Linked DNA regions of Drosophila melanogaster. The protein of the gene in region 1 interacts with the protein of each later gene in a pairwise test. Each region holds a gene or a part of one and is shown on either strand. Other genes may lie near its edges.

Evidence for each region.
Region 2: the proteins of Uxt (region 1) and Dyb interact in a two-hybrid assay, tested with the Drosophila melanogaster proteins (one large-scale study listed by BioGRID).
Region 3: the proteins of Uxt (region 1) and Pfdn2 interact in a two-hybrid assay, tested with the Drosophila melanogaster proteins (one large-scale study listed by BioGRID).

Annotation. Positions count from the first base shown.
Region 1 is NT_033779.5:15,254,667-15,262,083, forward strand, and holds Uxt (Uxt prefoldin-like subunit), read left to right. Parts: upstream 1-1,914; 5' UTR 1,915-1,984; coding exon 1,985-2,031; intron 2,032-2,082; coding exon 2,083-2,524; 3' UTR 2,525-2,746; coding exon of another isoform or gene 2,747-2,920; 3' UTR 2,921-2,976; downstream 2,977-7,417. Other genes in the region: PolD3 (DNA polymerase delta subunit 3), read right to left, coding at 302-1,597; yuri gagarin, read right to left, coding at 2,747-2,920, 3,133-3,439, 3,507-3,775, 3,838-4,043, 4,116-4,272, 7,052-7,174, 7,246-7,346, 7,404-7,417.
Region 2 is NT_033778.4:12,432,901-12,441,788, reverse strand, and holds the start of Dyb (dystrobrevin), read right to left. Parts: upstream 4,445-8,888; 5' UTR 4,400-4,444; coding exon of another isoform or gene 4,380-4,399; 5' UTR 3,899-4,379; intron 1,157-3,898; exon of another isoform or gene 1,054-1,156; coding exon of another isoform or gene 661-1,053; exon of another isoform or gene 652-660; intron 602-651; coding exon of another isoform or gene 600-601; exon of another isoform or gene 469-599; intron 1-468. Other genes in the region: CG30334 (uncharacterized protein), read left to right, coding at 661-1,053; Tmem18 (transmembrane protein 18), read right to left, coding at 4,942-5,070, 5,127-5,275, 5,351-5,468, 5,533-5,592; DUBAI (deubiquitinating apoptotic inhibitor), read left to right, coding at 6,508-7,317, 7,383-7,714, 7,973-8,810, 8,868-8,888.
Region 3 is NT_037436.4:11,071,348-11,078,406, reverse strand, and holds Pfdn2 (prefoldin 2), read left to right. Parts: upstream 1-4,018; 5' UTR 4,019-4,160; coding exon 4,161-4,291; intron 4,292-4,395; coding exon 4,396-4,696; 3' UTR 4,697-5,115; downstream 5,116-7,059. Other genes in the region: Noc1 (nucleolar complex protein 1), read right to left, coding at 1-9, 81-944, 1,004-2,578, 2,638-2,752, 2,818-3,546; Mocs1 (molybdenum cofactor synthesis 1), read right to left, coding at 5,250-5,845, 5,997-6,848. UniProt on the Drosophila melanogaster protein: Binds specifically to cytosolic chaperonin (c-CPN) and transfers target proteins to it. Binds to nascent polypeptide chain and promotes folding in an environment in which there are many competing pathways for nonnative proteins.

The sequences.
Region 1 (7,417 bases):
CGCCCACACACACACACACACACACACAATCAGACACGCGAATCTATATAAATAAAGAAATACAAATTACAAACAAGATACTCAAACAACTTCTAGCAGCTATAAACAAATGCAATAAATTCTTTTTAACAACAAACGCAAACTGTTTTTTTCATATGGGCTGATGGCTATTTTTTTGTAAACCCATCATAAAATATATATTATTTTCAATAATCATAAATAAATTTATTAAAAACATTAACTGTTTCCATGCTTAACAATTAACCCTTACTTTAGCAACATCTCCATGCTTTGCTTTCATTTACTTCTTGGAAAAAAAGTTCATAATGCCAGCTTGTTTGGTTTTCGGCGCATCCTTTCCAGCTTTCGCGGCTGAAGGCGGTGACTTCTTTTTGTTGACGGGAGCAGCAGCCTTTGGGGAAACCTTTTTGTTGGCAGGCTGGGCTTTTGTTGGTTTACGCTGCGTAATGACGAAGCCATCTTCATCCAGATAGGTTTCATTGGCCGGTTCCGTATCCATTTTCTCATCCAATGCGATGGTCTCTTCATCGGCGGACTTCTTGGGCGGCTGCTCCTCGTCCTCAGAGTCGCTGATTCGTCGCCGCTTGGAGGACGAGGCCTTTTCCTGATCGGAGTCGTTGTCCGACTCGATCACCTTCCGCCGCAGCATGTCCAGCTTTTCCTCCTCGTCGGACGATTCGGCACTCTCCTCGTCGAACAGTTGCATGGAAGTGTTTGCCGTTGTTGGCTTTTTGGTGGGACTGGGGGATTTCTTTTTCGAGGCTTCCTTTTTGTTTGAATTGGAAGCATCTTTCTTCGATTTATCTTCGGATTCCGGTGGCGACTTCTTGGCGCCTGCCGGTTGCTTCTTAAAGAAGTTGTCCACGGTGCCGGACGTCGATTTGCTGGGCGTGGCTTTGACATCCTTTGGCTTGCTGGCCGCCGCTGTGAAGAAGCTATTAATGCTACCCTTTTTGGCTGCTGCAGGCTTGGCTTTAGAGGCCTGTTCCTTGGGCGAGGTCTTCTTATCCTCCGGAGAGGACTTGCTGGCCACTGGCTTTTCCGCCTTCGACTTTGCTGGCTCTGATTTAAGTGAAGATTTTGAAGGCTCCAACTTAACCGCAGACTTTGATGGCTCCGATTTAGTGGGTTCAGATTTGACTCCATTGTGGGGAGTCGTCCCATTTGCACTGGGCACTATCTTTCCCGCTCCAGGACGCTGCTCCACTTTTGCCAACTTCACCTCCAAATGCTGCATGGGCTTGAAAATCGCAGCCGGCGCTTTGGTGCCACCGGCTATTTTCACACTATACAGCTGAGACTCCGCATCCTGGACTTTGGCCAGCCAATCCTGCATCCTGCTCTCCAGCACCACAGAGTACAGATCTTCGCCGGAATCGGATCCTTGCGTTTTACGCTTGCCATGGACTAGAAATCTCTTCTCGAATTTTGTGGCAGGTTCCTGCTCTTTGATGTAGGCCTCCAGCACATCGTTCACCTCCTTGTAGGACAGTTTGTACTCCTCCAGAAGATCGGTGACCAGCACACAGCGATCGAAATCGATCATGCAATCGTCGAGAGCCTTTTTAAGCGACATTTCGACAATTTGTTTAGTTAAAATTGCGCGAAATCGTATTGCGGGCGTGCCAACTTATGTGACTAAAAAAAGTGCTAAAACTCACCAGCAAAATAATGAATACTGAATTCGAAAATTTGTGACTTTGCTATGCATATTGTCAATGTAGAAAAAGGCGTATTTATTAAAGTTAATTAATTAATTATTATATATATTTAGTTGCTTTTTTTTGCTTGAATTATGAGCTTATTAATAGACTTTACATTTAGCTTAAATATAGCTAAATTGAAACAACTGCTATCTATCGATAACATCTACTTGCCGCTATTGCAAAGATAAGAAGAAGAAACGAGAAGTAAACAAACCAGATATCCTAATAAATTTTGATTTCTTTTTAATGCCCAAACAATGCAAGTAAATCCAAAACACAACACAGAAGCTCACAGACAAGCCGAGTAAGTGATAAAAATACAAGTGAATGCAGCAAGTGTAAGACCCAATTACAGGCAGGATGCCAACAAGGCGCGAATCACCCAAATTGAGGAGTTCATCAACGAGGTGCTGAAAGAGGATCTCAGAGAGCTGGAAAAGTGCATCGGGCAGTACAACGAGGAGATCATGGAGTACGTCCAGCTGAAGAACACCCTCCAGACCTTCGACACCCACCTACCAGATGGCTACAAAACGCAAGTCAACATCGGCAGCAACGTATTCATGCAGGCTCGCGTTCGGAAAATGGATAGCATTCTGGTCGATGTGGGCAAGAATGTGTTCCTCGATATGAGCATTCCAGATGCGGAACGCTTCTGCGACACACGCGTAAAGATCTTGACCAAGCAATCCGATGTCCTGCGCGACGAAAGCGTCAAGAAAAGGGCTCAAATCAAAATGGCCCTCATAGCAATCAGCGAAAGAACCAAACTTATTCAACAGGATGAAAGCAAATAGCTTCGCTGCGTCCACAGAAGCTGAAAGCATCTGTATCCTTGTTCGTATCAGTAGTGATCACATTATTACCAAGATTACACAAGCACTTAGTTTTTATTTTATACCACAATTTACAAAGACAATTTACAAGTTACGCGCCTCCAAAGTGTTGATGGCATAGAGATTTTGGGTGAGAACGATTTTTAAATGGAAGGAGGAGTTGCATGCAAATCCTGGCGACTCCTACGACTGATCCTGTGACGATCGAGTACGCCGCAATATGGATTGGGCCACCGGTTGCCCAATTCCAGCCGGACTTCCTGAGATCAAGGAGTTGCAGTACTGATCGTTCATAGTCTGATTCTGGTTAAAAATCCGCTGCGAGGTGCTGGTCAAGTTCTGCAATCGCCTGGCCATCTGCGGAAGTCACCAATAGACACCAGTTAGACAATAAAGTTAGAAAGTATTATTTTAATTCCAGCTGCCCGTTTAAGAAGTCCAATGGTTATCCAATTCGTCAAAATTTGGAACAGGCTTGTTGAAAATTAAGGAAAAATTCAAGTTTTACATGGTTTGGTGGCATTTTGGCATATAAAGATTTGTGAAAAATTTGTATATTTCCAACTCACATCGTTCCCCGCCTCGGGATTGGTCAGACCGCCACTCTTCGGAGGTGGACAACTTATCGCCGAACTGGACGCGCAGTTGACCGCCTGCTTCACTCGTTTTATCTCCGTCTCCAAGAGCTTGTAGTCTCGGAATAGATTGCGATAGTCCTCGGCCAACGTCCGGTTTTCGTCCAGCAGCATGTGGATGTGTTCCTCGGCCCGCTTGGCGCAAAGACGCATCGCCTCATCGGCCCTAACCTGGGCGTCCTTCCATTTTCGAAAGGAGTCGATAATCTGTTCCTGCTGCTGGTTAACTTCGGTCTGTTGACTGGCGGGAAGAGAGAACATGGCAGCTGCTCTTATATGGATGCACTCTATCCTGGAAAATTACCTACTTTAGGCGGATCTGCATTTGCTGGCAATTTTCCGAAATGGTGCGCAACTCCTCCCGCAGAGATTCAGTTGTCTCGTTCATCCGCTGGATACTTTCGCGATGCCGGATGTCATCCAGCTGCAGATGGCTCTGCATTTTCCGAACAAGAGTGCGCATCTTTTCCATCTCCAACTGGGCACTCTTTTGTTGATCTTGAAGTGCCCGCTCTCGGCCCGAGGACACAGCCTCCTTCTCCTTCAAAGCGACCACCTCCTCTCGCAAGATTTTGCGCTGAAATTCATAATACCTCAGTTTTCTTTGTGCCCAAGGACGACAATAGTCGGATACGCCACCTCTGTTCTCAGCTCATCCTGCAGCTGCTCCACCTGATCCAGTCGCGTTTGCAGGCTCTGCGCTTTCCTCTTGGCGTCCTTGAGCTCCTGGCACTGATCCTCGAAGCTGGCCATCAGGCTTTCGTACTTCGTGCAGAGTTCCACGCTTTGATTTTCTTGGTTTTTCAGCAGGGAAGGGAGGTCTCGCAGTTGGCGGGATAGATCACCTGATAGTATACATATATATATATATATATATAGAAAGAGCTTTTAATTGAAAATTATAAGTTTTCTCTCACAATTCTTCTGTTTGAGGACATGCATCTCTTCTTTGAGCCGATTGTTCTCGCTGAAATCGGAGTAGCTATTGATCATGGACTGCAGCTGGCTAATCTGGTTATCTCGATCCTTTAGATTTTCCTGCAGTCCCTTGATTTGGCAGGAAAGTTGTCCGTTCTGGTGGGGAAAAAAGTGGGCGAGAAATCAGAGAAACGATTAGGAGCAATTTGGTAAATGTGTGCTTTAGTGGATCCAACTTGTATCTCCAGTTCACAGTTGATCCGTGACTGATCGACGAAATGGAGCTCGGGCTCTGGGCAGGATTGGCTGGCTAGTGAGCTCTGCTGCAGCTGCTGCTGCTGCTGCTCCACCTGTTCGGTCAGCTCCTCGAGATCCCTTTTGAACTCATCGATGATGCTGAGGTAATTATCCCGGGTGGCCTGCAGTAGATCCGACTCGGTCTGGCAGTGGAGCAGCGTGTGCTCCAACTGCTGGCGGTGGGGGCAATCGGTGGAGCTGTTGCCTGTGTTCTACAAATTCAAATTGAGTTGTGGCTCACTTGGTTGGTACCGCTATTCTCGAGGCTTACCATGGCCACTCGGAAATCGGTAACTAATTGCCTGCAAATCCGCGCACGAAATCACCTGTCAGTTGTCAATTGTCGATTGCAGATACGCGGATGTACATATCTATGTGTTTAAATCGTTTTCGGTGTCGAATGCCTAGAAATGGAGCCTTCGTGCCGCCGAGCTTGCAAATATATCTCGCAAATATGACCCCCAGACGAATTTTGGCTTCATTACCGTTTCATTTCATTTCAATAATATTGCTATTAAAAGTTTGTCACGAAAATAAAACCAATTCGAAACGTAGGAGGTGGCAAGGTTTCGGGTTTCCGGTTTCAAAGTTTCGCTTCTTTGGCACTTTGGCAACACACAAGTTTGTTGGGTGCTTGAAGGGGTGGGGGGTGAAGGATGGTTGAGTGGGGGGGGGGGGGGTGACTTCCCCTAGTTTTATAGATATTATTATTTGCGCGGCCCGACTGTTTGACACGATTTGAAAATAAAGTTAGTTGCAGCGGGTGGCAGCGAATAGTATTATATCGTCTGTCTATTTCTTGGATACGATAGATATATGGATATTTATGAATGATGAGTGGAGGGGAGTTGGGCGAGCGTGGCTCGGCGCACTTAAAACACTTTTAAAGGCATATTATATTGCAGTGGGTGGGGCGGGGGGTTAGTACTACGAAATTGATAGCTCAGGCTCGGGGAAATGTGAAAATCGATTGGGACGGGGGCAATGAATTCTTATGATTCCTTGTCTGTCATTAAACCCATTAGCGGAGCCCAACAATTCGCTTTTCCATCGGCTCCATTTGCACATTTACGGTTCGCAGCACCAACTTTCTTCACTGCACTTCGCGTCCCTCTTTGCGAAAGCACTCGAAAACAATTTGCACTTTTGGCCAACTTTCTCCTTTCTAATTGCCCGATTTTCCTTTCGTTTTTCGCGCCGAAAAGATAATCAAATCGACGGAGCGCGACTTAGGCGACTAATTACGCCTCGTAAATTGGCTGGCGAGGATTTGGCGCGTTATTCCTGGCGCTTCCTTGATTCGCTTCACGCGACTAAACGGCCAAATCCGCCGACGGATGACAGGATTCTGAAGCGAACTGCTCCCCTGCTGGGGCTTCCTGCCGAGTTGTGTTTGATTTTGCGCCCGACAGTTTCGCCAAAGAGATGATGGCGTGAGGGGTGACGACTTTGTTTATTGTTCACACCTCGGGAATTAGTCATATCTAAATAAACATTTATTTAGGTAATTACTAAATATTTGTATTTGCACTGAGCTCAATTTAAGTTGGTTCGGTATTATGAATTACTTAGTGCATACGATCGAGATCGATGTAAATGGTCGTGGTCCTTGCAGTCACGCGGATCACGAGCAGTCCTAGTCAGTGAAGTCCCAATCCCGGCGGCACTCATCAATATGCATATCACTGCTCGCCGGAATCGCGTGTCGATTGTGGGTAAATAAATAACACGAAACCTATTTCCGATTCGCCAGCTCCACTGGCTGGAGGGCAGAAGGTGCTCCCCCCTCAGGGGCAATTGCAGTTGAACATACAGCCGAGTTTCCACAATAAACACATTGGCGAACGATTTGTATTTGTCGTATGTAGACATTTGCCCGGCGGGATGAGTGAAGTGGATCTCTTTCTTTTGTGTCTGGGCCCAATATATATATATTCATATATATATATATATGGGTAAATAAATCGGGGACTCGAATGGCAACAGTAGTTCTTTTGTCAATCCAGCCAGGATTTACCGAGTATATACTGTACCGAGTATATATGTGAAGGCGAATGTCGTTTACCACATAAGAAGAAAGTTCTATGTGCTGAAACGTAAATCGGAAATGTATTTCAAGCTCATAATTTGGTTGGGATATGAAAGAAACTTTATTTAAAACTAGTTCATTTCATTAAAACTATTCATTTCAGCAATCTGTGATTCTAGTTTCTGTTTAACCATATATAGATAGATATAGATTTGAGTGGAGTTGAGTTTTCGTGGCGAACAATCGCGATGATAAATAACTTAAGAACGACAAACTTTAAGCTAAACTATACAAACTTCTTAACGTGGCTTAGATTAGACTAACTGTTTAGGAGGCCCAACAAGTGACATAGTTACTTGGAGGTCCTAAACGTTGTAGTTGTGTTTTTCGTTGGTATAGTTTTAGTTGTCGTTGGCTTGTTTGAAGGTTTAGGTGTTGGTTGTTGTTTGTTTGTTTTTGCCGTGGCTCCCGGGATTTTGGTGGTTTTGGTTGGCTTCCTTGTTTGGGAAGGTGTTTTCGTATCGCATTCCTGCATTTGATATGACAACCGGGGTTATTGGAATCGGCTATTGGTTATTTGCGATGCAATCAAAGCCGTCAGATACTCACAATTTCCACTTGATTTTGCTCCTGCTCGAATTTCCGTGCAAACATATCCGCAATGGTCGTACAAAATGGATTTTCTTTCGAGGATTCGTCGTAGATTTCGTTGTAGGAGAACTCCTTGGAACCCTGAAATGATGCACATATTTTTAATATGCATTTCCTGCAATCCTGCAGAATAGAGAAGAGTCTTAACTCACCAACGAGCAGATGAGTTCGGCGATCTCCCTTAGAACATCGCTATTTCTTTGAAGAACGCTGCTTTCCGATTCAATCCTCGCCTCCAGCTCTGAAATTTTGACTTTTTGCAAATAGGGAAATAGTTATAGCAAAAGTATCGAGAATCGGATATACCCACTTTTCGACTCGGTG
Region 2 (8,888 bases), on another chromosome or scaffold:
CCAAGCTTTCCTCCTGCACTTTGCATAAATCTATAATGAGATTTGGAATGCAACTGTCACACATAATGGCATTGCCACGACGACAACGACGACGACGACGAACAATCTGACCAATCAATGCAGCTTAGCCAGAGGCCACTGTGCTGATATAAGCACGTTTGAAGTGGACAGAGTTGTCTACTACAAATATTTAATATTCCCTCTTTAGTTAGTTCGATTATTGCACACTAAACTCAAATAAACAATATACAAATATACAAATGCTATTCTTGCCAATGCTTTTCACATATATTGTAAATAAACAATATTTAGATTATGGCCCCCCATTCGCAAAGCGGAAGTCCGATGCCCAAATATTTATTGGCCACGATCGGTGTTTACAAACAAAACACGCGCCAGATGAAACAATGGCCATATATTAACCCCCACCGCTGTCGATCGAATCAGTCGGATCAGTTGGCTCCATAGAATGCCATACTTATGGGCAGTCTAGTTGGCTTTTCGGCTTTTAATGGGAAATAACGAAGCAATTGTTGGAGGCGATTATCGAAATTATACCGAATAGAGGAGCTCACTGGCCGCGCACAGTGAAGTCCAGAATGTGAGTAGTTGATACCGAATGCCTTCCAATTGATGGACCTCCGATATTAGCCAGCTAACATGTCCAGCTGCAGACAGTTCAATCCGTTCTACATTGGACCCTATCCGGAGCGTGCGTGCGGCGATTGTCCGTATGGCGAGTACTCGGGCTTCACCAGATGCGGATGGAGTGGCGGTAACGGGCCCTTTGGCACCACCTTCTGTGACTCCCGCTATGGCGGAGGAGGAGGAGGCGGCCAAGGCGGTGGAGGAGGGAGAGGTGGATGTGGAGGCAGAGGCAGAGGTGGTTGTGCGCCATCTTGTGGTCCTCGTGGCGGATCGTGGTCCTGTGGTCCCCGCCCGTATTCCCCGTGCTATCAATTTCCGTACGGAGCGGACAGCTGCATGATGTGCTCCAGTGGATTTGGCTGCTGTGGCCAATCCTGTCGCGCATCCTGCTACTCCTGCTGCTGAGCATGTACGTCTCGTGGACTCTGGACTTCACTGTTTGCGGTTAATTGGTTTCTTGAGTTATTTCTTTCTTTTTCTTTTTTTTGAGCAAAATTGATTGTAAAGCAAGAACAATTATGGTTAGCCCTTTGGGTTTATTATTATGGGCTTGGTCTTAAAATAACCAGATGCTTTACGCTCCAATCGCTAGCGAAAATCCCCTGTAATGGAATGCCCACACATGACTGCCTCTTGGTTATGGAGAACAAAGTTGTCGCCCGCGATAAATGTATGTACATCCCATACATCAAACGAGGCCACTGCGGGTGTGGAAATCCGGGCCAGAATCCGGTGTGGAGAGGAGTAGGGAGGAGAGGAGTGGAAAGGAGGTCGGCGCCGCTAAATGCGATTACAGCATAAACGATTAATTTTATTGCAGTTAGCCGAGCCGGGACGCTTGTTCCATAAACTAATTAAAGCCCAGTGGAAAGTGGACAGTGGATACATTCGCCGCTGACTTCAAAGAAAGGGTTAATTGTGCGCCTTGTGCGGAATTGGTCCCCCTTTTTCATTCCGCTCTCTTGGTTTTCCATTCTTCCTTTGTCTTTTCCGCAGACAACTGGGCAGTTTTCTTCGTTTTCTTTGTTTTCTAGGCCGAAATTACTCCGTGGCTAGATTTGGTGGGCACCACGTTCTCGTTCTGCTCCTCGACGCTACTATGGCCATTGTTGTGGCGGCTGTCATGTTGTGGGTGGCCGCACTCAGCTCTGTTTGTTTGTTTGTTTTTTTCTTTTTTTTTCCATGCTGCTCTGCGTGTTTGTCGCTTTGCTCTTTTTTCCCCTCTGCCTTCTTTTTCGTGTCACGCCTCATTTAGCTTTTCACAACATTTCCAAATTTCCACCCACCCGGTCGACACGTCGCATCGCAGCGCACGTAGTGTCGGAAATATCTGGGGATGTGGAGCAGTGGTGCCTAGTCCTCTGCACTCTCGGCTCTTAGCAGCACACATCAAAATTAACCGAAATAACCAGTGGGATGCGTGTATGCAGCTCTGTATCTGTGAACTAGATCGAGTCGCTTCGTCTTCAGATTGGAATGCCCCTCGTAATGAGCCACAATATGTTCGAGTTAATTGCATCGGATCGAAGTTGCCGCGGGGGAAATATCAACAGGCAGGCAATAGAGTCACGGTAGGCTAGGCAATTTTCCATATATAACGAATATTTGATCGTAATGGATATAAATGGATATAATAATGAGTTAAAGAAAGGCACCCCTGTGCGCAAGCTTTTGAGAATAGCTACCACTTAACAATTTCTTAGCTTACAATACAAGCCAGTAGTTAACTCAACTTGAATGCCATATTTTTCTGGAGTGATTCTATTTATGTAGGGGTATATGTAGCAACCACTTGCACTACACTTCAACACCTGATTTATGCATTTAATCGTAAAATTTAAAGATCGTCATAATGCCAATGAGTCGTAAAAACCAGCCAATTAAAGCCACTTAAATTTGGCAAATGGCAAGCGCACTTTTCCAAATGCATGGCTTTGATTTAATACCTGTGATAAAAGCAATGCGCTTAATGTTGGATCGTGGGATTATCTAGTGATTGTTCCGATTGCAGATAGTATTCGTGTATAGATGAGGGGCTCGAAAGTGAAACTCGCTGATATCGCAAGAGCATTCGATCCATTTTACTTGCCGACTTGTAGGTGGTTCGGAATGCCGCTTGGCATTCGGGTTTGAGCTTCGTTTTGAACTTCGGCTTGGCGCACCTGCCACGAGTGTTCCCCCTCTCATTCTCGCTCCCACTCCCGCACTCGCTCGCAGCCCCCTCCCTGGTGGACTCTCTCCTTCGCACCTTCGCGCGCTTGTTGGTGGGCCGGGCGAGCAGCCGCCGTTTTTCAAATGCTAAAATTGGCGATTAGTCAAAATGATGTCACCGAGTTATTTTGATTGTTTTTTTTCTTTCATTATTTCTATGTATTTATTTCGCTTGACTTTGGCATTTTGGCGACACGCTGACCATAAATTCCGTATTATTGTTTTTCCTGCTATTCGATATCACCGATTGCCAAAGGTGGGCTAAGATACAAAATGCTCTAATCTAAACACCAAGTTGCAGTGTGTGTGTGTGTGACTTTTCATTCGCACGACGCTTAATTATTCGCTGAGCTAATCATTTCACCGACTGCCATATGGCGGTATGTGATCTAATCTCAATGAGCAAAAGGTCTAGTTATTAAGGCATGCGGCTCAGTTTGATATGGAATTTTTCAACTATGCGAACTTGGATGTCAACCAGACGCAATAGTTAAGGAAATTCATTAAAACTTCAAACATTTCAGTTCCTTAAACTTATCTTGTATGAAGTATTATAGAGGAGATATCAATATACCCGTTAAGCTTTTTAATATAATTTACACAATTTCATAATTTCGTGAACGAGCGAACATGGGGCGTGGCGTGAACCACTAGACTTTCCAACGGAATGCAAATAGTTTAACTATGGTTTCCCACATAGCAAAAACAACCAAATCCGAACTTTCCTCCTAGCTGCCCGCAAACATATTTAGTTGTAAACTAAATTCCAGGCGCAACCACAAACAGGCTTGGTTCAAAGTGTGGAGGGGAGGGGGGAGTGTTTTGGGAGTGGGCGCAGGGGGGCAGACACTTTTTATGAATGAACACTGTGCGCTGCGTCGCCAACGCGTCACTCATCCGAGTTTTCCTATCGCGGAAATCTACTACGCATTTCAGTGGGTAAGTGAGGGGGGTGGAAGGGCAATCTTAGCAACATTTTATTGGTATTGTTTATGCCCGGGAATTTGGTAATATAATCCGCACATTATTTGTTGTTTACCTTTTGTAATTAGCAACCTTTTTTAATACGTCACTTTTTGTTGGGCTGCGCGGAGTTGCTGCTTCTTCTTGCTGCTCTTTCTCCTCCTTCTCCTGTTTCTCTGCACTTATCGCGTTTTATTTTCACCTGCTGTTTACACACAATAAACGATGAACGGTAAACGGAGTTGCCAAACTCGCGTTAGCGAACGAGAGAGCAAGATGCAGCGCCGAGATAGAGAGCGAAGATGCTGCGCCCTTTTGGCCTTTGGTAAAAAATATGGTAACAGAAAAACTTCTTTTTTTCGGGCTACGCTTATGGGCTCAAAACACATACACACCGACGGCAAAAACGCACACACACAAGCGAGCTCGCAGGAATTTTGAGCCTGGCTTTAAACCGCAATGCTATGCAAAACTTTTTTCTGGCTTGCCAACGGTAAATACGCAGCGCGATTTGCGATTAGCTCCGTGCGAATATCTTATCAACGGATTTTGTTTACCCAAAAACCACTTCCAACATTGCGCCGCGACACTGCTTCGACACCCACAAGCCAGCAACAACAAAATCGTTGGACAGTGTTACCAGACGACGAAGGGCTCCCAATTGAATTCGTACTAAAAAATGACACAGGTCCAACGAGCTTCTAATTTGAAATTACAGTCTTGGCACACAGATCAGAAATTGATACAGGCAATAAGCTGATTGGATCTATAATGTTAATTTCGTCAAAAATATCAAAATAGTTCATATTACGTGATATATATAGAAAATTTTAGGTGGCAGTAAAAACTGCTTTACCAAGGTGGCAACGGTAACTGGTGTGATTTTTTGCTTAATATGAAGGGCATGTTAGGTTTGTAACTTCGCTAAGTAAAACAGGATGTAAAAATAGCCTAAATTTACAAATTCTATAAGTTTGATTATACTAAATTAAATTTATTTTAAAGACGAGAGCTGTGCAGCAAACTACATCTAGATGACAGGAAAATCCATTTAAAGCATAACATATAATTTCACAGCTCTACTTGTGCTTTTAACTGCATGTAATACAGGCGTAAGTTCTACTCTGCCTTTTTATGTGCTATGGATTCCGAATCCGCCTTAGTCTGGCGTTCCTTGCGAGCTCGCTCCTTGAGCTGCGCTGTTTTTAGAGTCACCATCAGCTGCGTGGAGTTGTAGAGCCAAGTGCCCTGCAAATAAGCAAAGATAAATACACACTTCATGCAGTGGAAACACTATAACTTACAATCAAAAGCATGCAATTAAGCAAAATAGGTATTGAGAAAACTGTCGAGATAAACAGGCCGTTGCTATCGAAGTATTGTTGTCTGGAAAAGGAACTCCAGTTGTTAGCAGCGAACTCATTGATGCTTTCGGTGAAGTAGACTGCCAGCACTGAGGAAGATGAAGCACATGCAAAAATCAGAGTCATTTATCGGGTAAGTCAAGGAAGCCGCCAAGTCCACGTACACAGTACTAGGAAGAGGAAAACCTGGAAGTTGGAGCTGTTCCGGCTGAGCAGCGCAGTGGTGGTGGTTAAGATATGCGCCAAAATAAGGCCAATAAGCCAGGGATCCTTCCAATCGATCTGCAAAAATAGTGACAACTTGCCGGATTCTTGATTTTTGATTGTATATAGGCGAGTATCTTACGCTCAGCAGAAATGTCCAATAGCCATTGATCTCGTTGACCTCAATTTGCCCTGGGTGCATCGTACAGATTTTTGTGAATATAAATGTTTCCTGTATATATTTTGCGATATATTCGAAAGCCGAGTCAAAACAAACATAAATAGCCATTCGCAGCGAACAGCTGTCATTTTTCATGGCAACGCCATTTTGGGAGGCCTATAGACGTTCAGGCTTCCTCAATTTTGACTGGATCTGGTAGCGCTGTTTGTAAGACCTAACTTACTATTTTATGGGCTAAATATAACAACATAAATCAAAATACTATTATTTCGTTTAGTATGTATTACTCACCATATAAATGCAATTACAAATTTTGTGCCACCTCATTCTCACCCACCCCGACTTGTCGTGCAGAGTCGCCCTGCCCGTCATTCAGTCTGAACGTGTCGATAACGCTTTCACTGACTCAGTAGACAACATTAACAAATCCGAAAAATATCACAAAGAATTCGTTTTAAAACAGTCAAAATTGTAGTTTTTAGGGCGAATCAAATCTATTCGGGTTATTAAGTCGAACGGGCGACGTGTGAGCAAGCAATCGAAGCTAAAGCCGAGCAGGGTAATCCGAAAAAAGGGGCGCCTTAGATGTGGCACGGGCCACCGACCCTACCGTGCACCACACTCGTCTAGGACTCTGTTCTAAAGCGCTTGTGGCGGGAGTTTCTGGCCAGGATCGGGCAGGGATCGAGGCGCACTCGAGACCCGTTGAAAGGTCGCAGTCAAATCGTAACGACGACACGTAACGGAGCGCGGTTCAAGGACACGCGGCTCAGACTCCTCGCTCAGAGTCGCAGGCAACGAAAAAGCCGCTGTGTTCGGGCGCTAGGCAAGCCCACGCCTCCGCCCATCGGCAACTGGAAGTTCCAGTCGGCCCTGTGGTCCGCAAGCCTTTGTGCCACTCACGTCCACGCCCACGCCAAGCGATTGAAACGCGAAATGGCCGTTAAGCAGAATAACAGCGAGGCGGGTGATAATGCCTCGGATAATGCCGGAGGAGCTGGCAACGGCATTCCGCCCAACGCCAAACCCATGTCCGCGAACGGAATGGCGAATGCCGAAGAGAACGTATTGCCAAAGGGCATGGACACGGGTTCGCCCGCTGGCGAGAGCCTGAACTCCAACCGATCGGGCAAGCGGGATATTAAGGCCCTGCTGGCATACCTCCAAAGCATCGATATGCCGGAGCAAGGCCACAATGTGATGGCCATCTGCGAGAGGGTTATCGTGGACTTGGCCCGTCTGCAAATTCCACGAGGCGCATCCTGTCCACGCCTAAAGGAAGACGTCTGCCAGGTCGGTGCCTTTCTGGCTACGCGCAACGAGAAGTTCCACCAAATGTTCTACCTGCGTGTCGTCTACGAGCTGATCACCAAGTCGCCATTCGAGCCACCACCCTCGTGTGCCGTGGCCATTGTGTTCCAGCTGTTCGACTCCACGCAGATCCTGGAGGCTGTACACTCGCTGCTGGAACAGAATGTGCAGGACTCGAGCATTAAGAAGACGGTGAACCTGCTCTGTGATTGGATCACGTACTGCACCTTTTGCAGCACTCTCAATCTTTGGGTGCTGGCGCTGCTCAAGGGGCTAAGGGATCAGGGCAAAATGGCGCTGCTCGACGAGATTGCAATGGACAACATCGAGAAGCTGTTCCACGTGATGATCTTTCCGGCGCTGAGGCAAAAGGCCGCACCGGTTGTGTTTCACATGCTGTCAACGATTAATCAGACCCCCGAGGTTTTTCACAAGGTAAACACTTCACTCAAACATTAGCTTCAACATAATTATTGACATTTGGTTGGTTACCCTATTAGATCTTGCCAAGGATCCCACGAGTCCTGCAGTATGTGAAGAATCAGTCGACCACCATGGACGAGATTGGCCTGGAAACCAAGAAATGTCTGCAGCAACTGGTCGACCTAACCAGCGCCCTAATGCTACGTTTCTATGATCAGGATGAGCTCTATGTCGCAACCAAGAAAGCCCTGCAGACCTATGAGCCCTCTCCGAATTGCGTGGCTCTGGCAAAGGCAATGCATGAGAATGCCCAGCCGTGGGGTCGGCGGAATGCGAGGGTTGGACTCGTTAACCTGGGGAATACCTGCTACATGAATAGCGTACTTCAGGCGCTAGCCATGACCAGCGAGTAAGTAAAGATCAAATGAAGAAACCCCACTTCTAATTTCCCCAAAGTAGAAGCGCAAAATAATATCTTTGCCTCATATTTATGATTAAAACTCGGTTCTATATTTGCATTGCCTTGCCAGCACCTTTTGTTTAAGAGCTCACTGTTTATAAATCTGTTTTAGGTGTCAATTTCCGATTACGAAAATAATTACGATTACGAAGCTTATTGGCTTTATTTATCTTCTTACAACTACATATACTCATTTTCCATTTGCAGTTTTAGCAGGCAAATCCTGCTTATCGAGTGCAATTCAGTGCTGCTCATGAAAGTGCAGCAGCAGATTGCCCTGATGCATCACTCGCTGCGCTACGAACTAACGCCTTCGCGAGTGCTGAACGCCACCCGGCCGCCTAGCTTCACGCCCGGCCTACAACAGGACAGCTCCGAGTTCCTAGGATATCTGCTCGACCTGCTGCACGAGCACGAGATCAACAGCTCCTCAGTCACTGGTCACAGTGTTGGTCCTCCGAAGACCGGCAGGGAAGTGGACGACGTGCCCGCACTGCTGAGCGAGGATATATTGTCGAGCGGCGTTATTCCGTACAACAGCAAGGATCACGAGCTCAGCAGTGGAAGCAACAGTGACAATTGTAATCACAAGCCCACACCGACACCACCCGCGACTCCCACCAAAGCCACCAACGGCTTAAAGCAGCAGGGCCAGCAGGTTGATCAGGCGAAGCCACCATCTACCATTGACAAGACGTTCGCTGGCAAGCTTTCCACCACCTATCGATGTTTAAACTGCGGCTGGGAGAGCCGGAACGAGGACAGCTTTCGCGAGCTGCAGCTGTCTTTTCCCGATGATAAGGAAGACTGTGGAGCCACCAACTACTCGGTGCAGGATCTGATCGAGTACTACTGCTCGCCCGAGAAGCTGGACGGTGACAATCAATATTTCTGTCCACAATGCAAGAAGCTTTGCGATGCGGAGCGCCACATCGGGGTCACCCAGGCACCGAAGAACCTTATTCTCACGCTCAAGCAGTTCAAGTACGATCAGAAGTACCACTTCCGCACCAAGCTCATGCATAAGGTGTTCCACGATGAGAGCGTAAGTATCGCAGCGAATTTCTCCGCTACAAGTTTAGCTAACCATTTCGCACGCTAGGTCACAGTAAAAATGTCGGCA
Region 3 (7,059 bases), on another chromosome or scaffold:
AGGACATATCTAAGGATGTTGAAAAAGTACATACATTAATAACCTCATGACTACCGTTGAATTCTAAATCGATATCTTACCGTGACTCTGTTTGAGTGTTTTGGCAAAGCTTCGTCCTCCCACCATGTCGGTGGAGTCTTTGCGGGATTTTTTGGATCTCGGTGGTGCATCTTCGTCGTCGTCATCCTCTTCGTCTGGACTCTCAGGAGCATCGCTTGAATCACTGTCGCCAGGGCCGCCTTCTGAAATCGAGCCCTCATCGTCATCATCATCATCATCATCGTCGTCGTCATCAAGTGGCTGCAAATCAATCGAGCCCGTTTCATCATCGGACTGATCTTCGCCCTCAATTTCATCATCTTCATCTTCTGCCAAGTCGTCATCACCCCAGTCGTCATCAATATCGTCCATTTCATCTTCCGCCTTGTCGGACTGCTTCTTCTTTTTCTTATCCTTGGACTTATCCTTCTTTATCTCGCCACCCAGCTCCTGCAGGAAGTTCAGCTCCTCTTCATCCTGCTCTTCGTCGACACCTTCCTTGAACTTCTTGCCGAAATATCCATCCAAATAGGCCTCGAACTCATCGTCATCTACTTCGCCCTCCTTCAGGTATTCCTCTCCAGCCTCGCCATCATCTCCCTCTTCTGCGGCGTCCTTCTTGATCTCCTTTTGCTTTTTGTTCTGCGCCACAATTTCCGCCTGTCTACGTTTATGCTCCAAGAAGTTGAAGATGAACATCTCGTCCTCGGTACAGTTGGCCTTGGTCAGCGATTTCACTGGTCTTCCTCGCGCTCCGTGAGCCATGTATCGCTTGTGTGCCACGGTAGCATTTTCCGCTGCTTGTGAAGCTTCCAGCTTTTTCGGATTCTTAAAGGCGAAACGTTCCAAAAAGTGGGGCAATCCGAAATCTCTGAGCGGATCACCATAGTAATCAATGCGTGATTCTAAAAAAATCGAAAGGGTTTATAAAAGGCTATGAATAGAAACCTAATGGAATACTCACGCTGAAGAATCTGTTCGGCGAAGACCTGAACGGTGGGATGGTAGTGTTGCCGCAGCAACAACAGTTCATGGCGGAGTGCATATGCAGCTCCTGCAAAAGCGGGCACTCGATGGTACGGATCGTACTTGCAGGAATCAATATCCCGCACCTTGGCCTCTGTGGCAGCCACACGGGCATGATGCCAGGATGATGCACTTGACTTAACATCATTGTCTGCCTTCTCCTCCAATGGATTGGAGTCCTTAGTATCATCCGCCTCATCTTTAACATCCTCGTAGACCTCCTCATCGTCGCTACCGAACTTGTCCAGATCCGCACTGATTGGTAGAACAACTTTGGAACCTTCCTCCACTTCCTCAGAAGCTCCAGTGCCGCCAATTAGCTCACGGCGCATGCGCAGCAACTTGTGGATGACGATTAAACAACCAGCTGCAATGTGCGGTGGAGCGTATAGGGTCAACTGCAGCAGACGCTTCACGAATGCCTGGGCCCTGGCCACATGGTTGTCGATGTGGATGGCACGATGTACAATATGCAGTAGATGAGCCGCCGTTTTGCTACCCACATTAATTAGGTTCAGATCCAGCAGCTTTACATATAAAGCATTATAAAACCGATCCGATTTCTCAGTTTTTACTGCAACCAATTGCAGCAGCAGGCCGAGAGTCTGTACAGCGACCCTAATGTCAGCCAAGTGGACCAATCGGTAGATGGTGTCCTGCATTTCCTTGGTGAGTAATTCCCCATTGCTATCCTTTGCCGGCTTAGCCTCCACGATAGCTTTTTGCAAGCATCGAAGGATGGCCTGCATGGTCCTATTATTTACGGCTCCCTTCTGCACGAGAACCTTGAAGAGGGCAAAGCATATATTGACCAACTTGGTGCAGACTTCGGGCCGGCCAGAGGGTGCGATGCTGGAGAGGAAGCACAGTGCAAAGTGCTGCGCTCGCTCGGAAATATTGTTACGGAAAAGTAGCTTCTCCGCTTCGGCAACAATAACACCGCACATGTTCGGATGTTTCTGGGCCACCTCGCTGAGGTGATGCAACGCCTTGGAGGCAATCTTGGCGATGGGATCGCCCAGTTTGTTTACCAGCATGGTTAGCAGCAGCTGCTCCTTTTCGGGAGCATAGGCCAACAGCCTGGCTGCTGACACAATAGAGGAGTTCTTATTGTGTTCCTGTCCAGTCTGCAGGCCCTGCATAACGTTCTTCAAGAACTCGTGGTACTGATCCTTTAATTCGCTCTCAAAATGCCAGTACGCGTAAATGCGGCGCTTCTGTTCGTTGCGCAAATTCTCATCCTTTTTCAGCTTTTTCCAATCAGCACCACGTGTGTGCACCGCCAGGAGTTTTCTGTTTGGCGGGAGCAGCACCTCCTGCCACAAATCCGTGAGCACTGCAATCACATCATTGCTGGCCTTGTTGGAGATCTTGCAGAAGCCAATTAAAGTGCTCAATGCTTCCAAATTGCCCAGTGGATTGCTCGTCACCAGAAGGGCGCCCGCATTGGCCCGATCCTTTGCAGTACCCTTGTGCAGAGCGGTTTGCAACCAGCGAGCATCCGAGGGATTACCTAAAGATGAGATAAAAACATTAGTAGGGGTTCCAATTTCCGAGTCGAGAAAGTCTTACGTTTATTAAAAGTTATCTTCTCCGCTTCGAAGGAATTCTTGCAGAGATTGTACAGCTCCAGCTGATCGTTCTCCTTCATGTCCAGCACCTCATCGGTGGACGGATAGTCGGGATGCTAAGATACGATAGTGATAACTATAAATGATTTATTTCCACGATTTCAGTTTAGTTTCAACATACCACATGATACCACTTCTTTTGGGACTCCTCGTCTTCATCTATTTTTGACTGATATTTGTTGTGCTTTTTGGAAATGGAGTCCCCCAGTTCCTCATCACTGTCTCCATCGCTGTCGGATACATTTTTTCCAGCTCCATCCTCATCAAACTTGATTCGTTGGGGCTTTTTAAAGTTCTCCTTGGACTCTCCGTCATCTCCAAACTTGATTTTTTGGGACTTCTTGGTCGGTTCCGTCTTTGTGTTGGAAGAATTCGCAGTTACTTCATCTTCTCCATCATCAGTGAACTTGATTTTCTGAGGTTTATTGGCGAAGTCCGACTTTTGACCATTATGTTTATGGTTGTTTTTGTTGAAAGGTTTTTGATGCACTGCTTCTCTATCCTCTCCAAATTTGATTTTCTGTGGTTTTGGTCCATTTTTATGATTTTGGTTGAACGACTTGGAAGCTACTTGTTCTCCATCATCGCCGAACTTTATTCTCTGTGGTTTGTTGGCAAAATCCGGCTTTTGGTGGTTCTTATTAAAGGACTTAGCACCTTTCGCTTTTCCATCCTCTCCAAACTTAATTTTCTGCGGCTTTTTCACCTGTTCCTTCCCTTCAAATTTTGGCCTTTGTGGGTGCTCCTTTTTGTTTTGTTTAACTACCGCCTCGCCGGAGTCGTCGAACACGATTTTCTTGTTTTTGGGCGGTCCACCGAATTGCACACCTGTGGCCACTGCTGCCGGCATGATTTTATATTTTCTAAAGCTATATATTAGATAAAAATCATTAAATAAAATAAACGGCGTTAGAAACAACTCGCACGTGTATTCAAATATGACATTCACCGCGAAACGTAAGCAACATATGTATGTCGTCTACTTAGTGACGAATTTCATTGTCTTTATGATATTAAAATTTTGTATTTAAAATCTTAAATAAGAGAGTATCCAACTTAGTTTTAAAATTTATAAATTATTCAGTAATTACCATTGAAATGACCGTGACTTTTGATAGCAGGTGGGTTTGAAGTTATATAAAGCTTGAAGTTATTATAATCTGATTATAAGTAAGAATAAAATTGAAATTCTTATATAGAATTACTATTAATTTATAAATTATTACATTAACTTATGTTTAAGTAACTGAAGTTGTGCTATATTTTCTTTTACCGTTACACCATTTTTCCACAATACATTTACGGTCTTACTGCCTTGACGCGCTTGGGATTTGTTAGGACGTTTATCGCATAGTCCTCGTGTTCGGTCTCGTATTTTGAAAGAAAATCGCAGATTATCGCCAATTTGAAGCGATTATCCCGGTCTAGATTTCGAAGGGGTCCTTTTGGATAGCGAACATTGCAATGAGCACCGAATCGGCGAAGCCGGCACTCAGCCAGGAGGCCATTGTGGCCCAGTTCCAACAGCTGCGCAATGAGCAGCGCAATTTGGTCAACAGTTTAAATACGCTCGAAATGGATTTGAGGGAACACAAGTGAGTCACCGGGGGCCCAAAGATGGATGACACGTCTGTTTGTGATTTTGGGCAAGTGGGAGAATCCCTGCAGACACAATGACATAACTCCTTATCCTCCCTAGAACTGTGATAGAAACTCTGGAGGCGGCGGATCCCGAACGGAAATGCTTTCGTCAAATTGGTGGTGTGCTGTGCGAAAGGACCGTGAAGGAGGTGCTGCCACAGCTGGTGGAGAACAAGGATTTCATCGCCAAGACCATCCAAATGGTCACCAATGACCTGAGCAAAAAGGGCAGTGAGCTGAACAAGTTCAAGGAGGAGCACAATATCAAGATTCGCGGCGAACACTTGGTTGCCGAAGGAGCCAAGGGCGACGATGCGGAGGACAAGGCGGAGAACCGTAATGTCCTGGTGTTCAACTGAGAGCGATTGATTACCTCACCACACCGTATTTATTGTGTCTATGTTGAGAGGGAACTCTGCCAGGATTTGCGAGCGATAATCCGCGTTTATTGAACACTTCTAATGTTGTATGTACTTCTAGCTGTAAGGCGCAGTTCGCGAAACGCCTCCAATCGCACCTTCACACCAACACTATCCATCAATTCCCCTCATTTAAACTTAACCCACTCTGGCCACGAATTAAAGATACCTTAAACTTCCGATTGAAATTAGTCATGTGTCTTGTGATTCATTCAAGATCTGAAAATGGATGGACCTCTATCCACCGACTGGAAACAAAAACTATATAAACTATATGATTATTTATCCCTTTTATGCCATTTGTTCTGAAACATTTTATTGGTATGTTAGTCAAATTAGTTTCCTATAAGGAAGTGATTTCATCTACATTTTTACACTTATGTATTCTTGCTTCATAAGTCTTTTAATTTAATATTTGTGGCTAAATCAAGTAAGCAGTAGTTTATTTTCCATTCCCCGTATCGTGGTTAATCCGGTTAGTCGGGTATTCGACTTATTCGACTTCTGTAACTATCCCATTTTGCGGCTCCTCCCTCTGGAAGTCCCTTTTTCCGCCGGATTTGCTTAGCAGGCGGACATTTGTGATGCAGATATCGTGAGAAACAGCCTTGCACATGTCGTACACAGTTAAAGCGGCCACTGAAACTGCAGTTAGTGCCTCCATCTCGACTCCAGTTTGGCCCGAGCAGCGAACGGTTGCCTCCAGCCGCACAGATTGTTCGGTTTTCAGAAGAGTGGCCTGCACTTTCACGGAGGACAAGCTGATGTTGTGACACAGGGGTATCAGTTCGGCGGTTCGCTTAGCGCCCATTATGCCAGCAATTTGGGCTACGGTTAGAACATCTCCCTTGGCCACTTGATTGTCGGCTATAAGTTGGGTAAGTTTCTCACCCACCTGAACGGTGGCCTCTGCACGAGCTAATCTTGTGGTCGAAGGTTTTGCGCCCACATCCACCATTTGGGCCTTGCCCTGGCCATCGACATGGGTGAGTTGGCTGTAATTTCGGGCCTGAAGCTGCAGCCTTGAAGTATGATATGCGTGGTGATACGAATAAGGATGAAGATGATGATGGAGTCTTGGCGCAGCATCTGCAACGGGAGAGGGGAGAGAGTGTGGTGTGTCTACTAGCCGCCAATGAGTATCATGGGCCGGTTCTCCATCTGCGACAGGTTCAGCATGCCTGCGAAGGAGTACCAAGTTCTGAAGACTTTCTACGTTTCATTCGGAATCGAAACTCACCTGCATGCTGTTTCTTCTTACGCTGGACGGCTGCTCCAATGAGATCCACCAACTGTTCCTCGCTAACACTCTCATCTCGCATGGCATCTCTCAACGAGAACTCTTTGTTGCCAAACAAGCACACCTTTATGTTTCCATCCGCAGTGAGTCGCAATCTATTGCAGGTACCACAAAAGTGTTCCGTCATGGAGGTGATGAAACCGACCTGACCCTTAAATCCCGGAACTGCATAGGCTTTAGAAGTGTCATTAGGTCCATTGGGAAGGGCCTTGAAGTCTGGCCACCTTTGTCGAATGATTTGCAGGGTATCTTTATACGAAATGAGCCTCTCTGTATGCCACTTGTTTCCGGAGAATGGCATGTACTCTATGAACCGCACATCTACCGGACGATTCCTGGTGAACTCAACAAAATCACAGATTTCATCCTCGTTGAAATCCCGCATAAGGACGCAGTTCACCTTGGGGCGATAGCCCAATTGGACAGCTAAATCAATGCCGGCTATCACCCGCTCCCATCCTTTTCGCCTGGTGATCTTCTCAAAGCGATCCCTTTTCAGCGTATCCAGACTGATGTTCAGGTTATCTAGTCCAGCTCTCTGGAGCGGCAACAGCAGGCGTGTCAGCACCAGGCCATTGGTGGTAATTCCGATTTGCTCCAGTTCGGGTAGTGCTTTCATTTGTGCCACTATCTCTACGATATCCCTGCGCACAGTTGGCTCTCCGCCGGTCAAGCGGATCTTTCGCACTCCCTGCTCCACGAAAATTCGAGCTAGACGAAGGATTTCCTCGGTGGTCAGGAGTTTGTTTTTCGGCTGTAGCGGAACGCCTTCAGCGGGCATGCAGTAGTCGCCTGAAAATATGACCACATTATAGTTATAATAGAATTTTCCAATTGGAATTTAATAAAAGTTAACTGAAGAGTATCATGGAAGTTTCTCGAATTCAAGTTAAGAACATTAAATTATCTAATATCAATGGGGGGTTTGCTATCTATCAGTAATCGAAATCAGAAACGTTGTTAATGTCGCCAAAATTATCTGATTATAATAGCAGCTACAAAT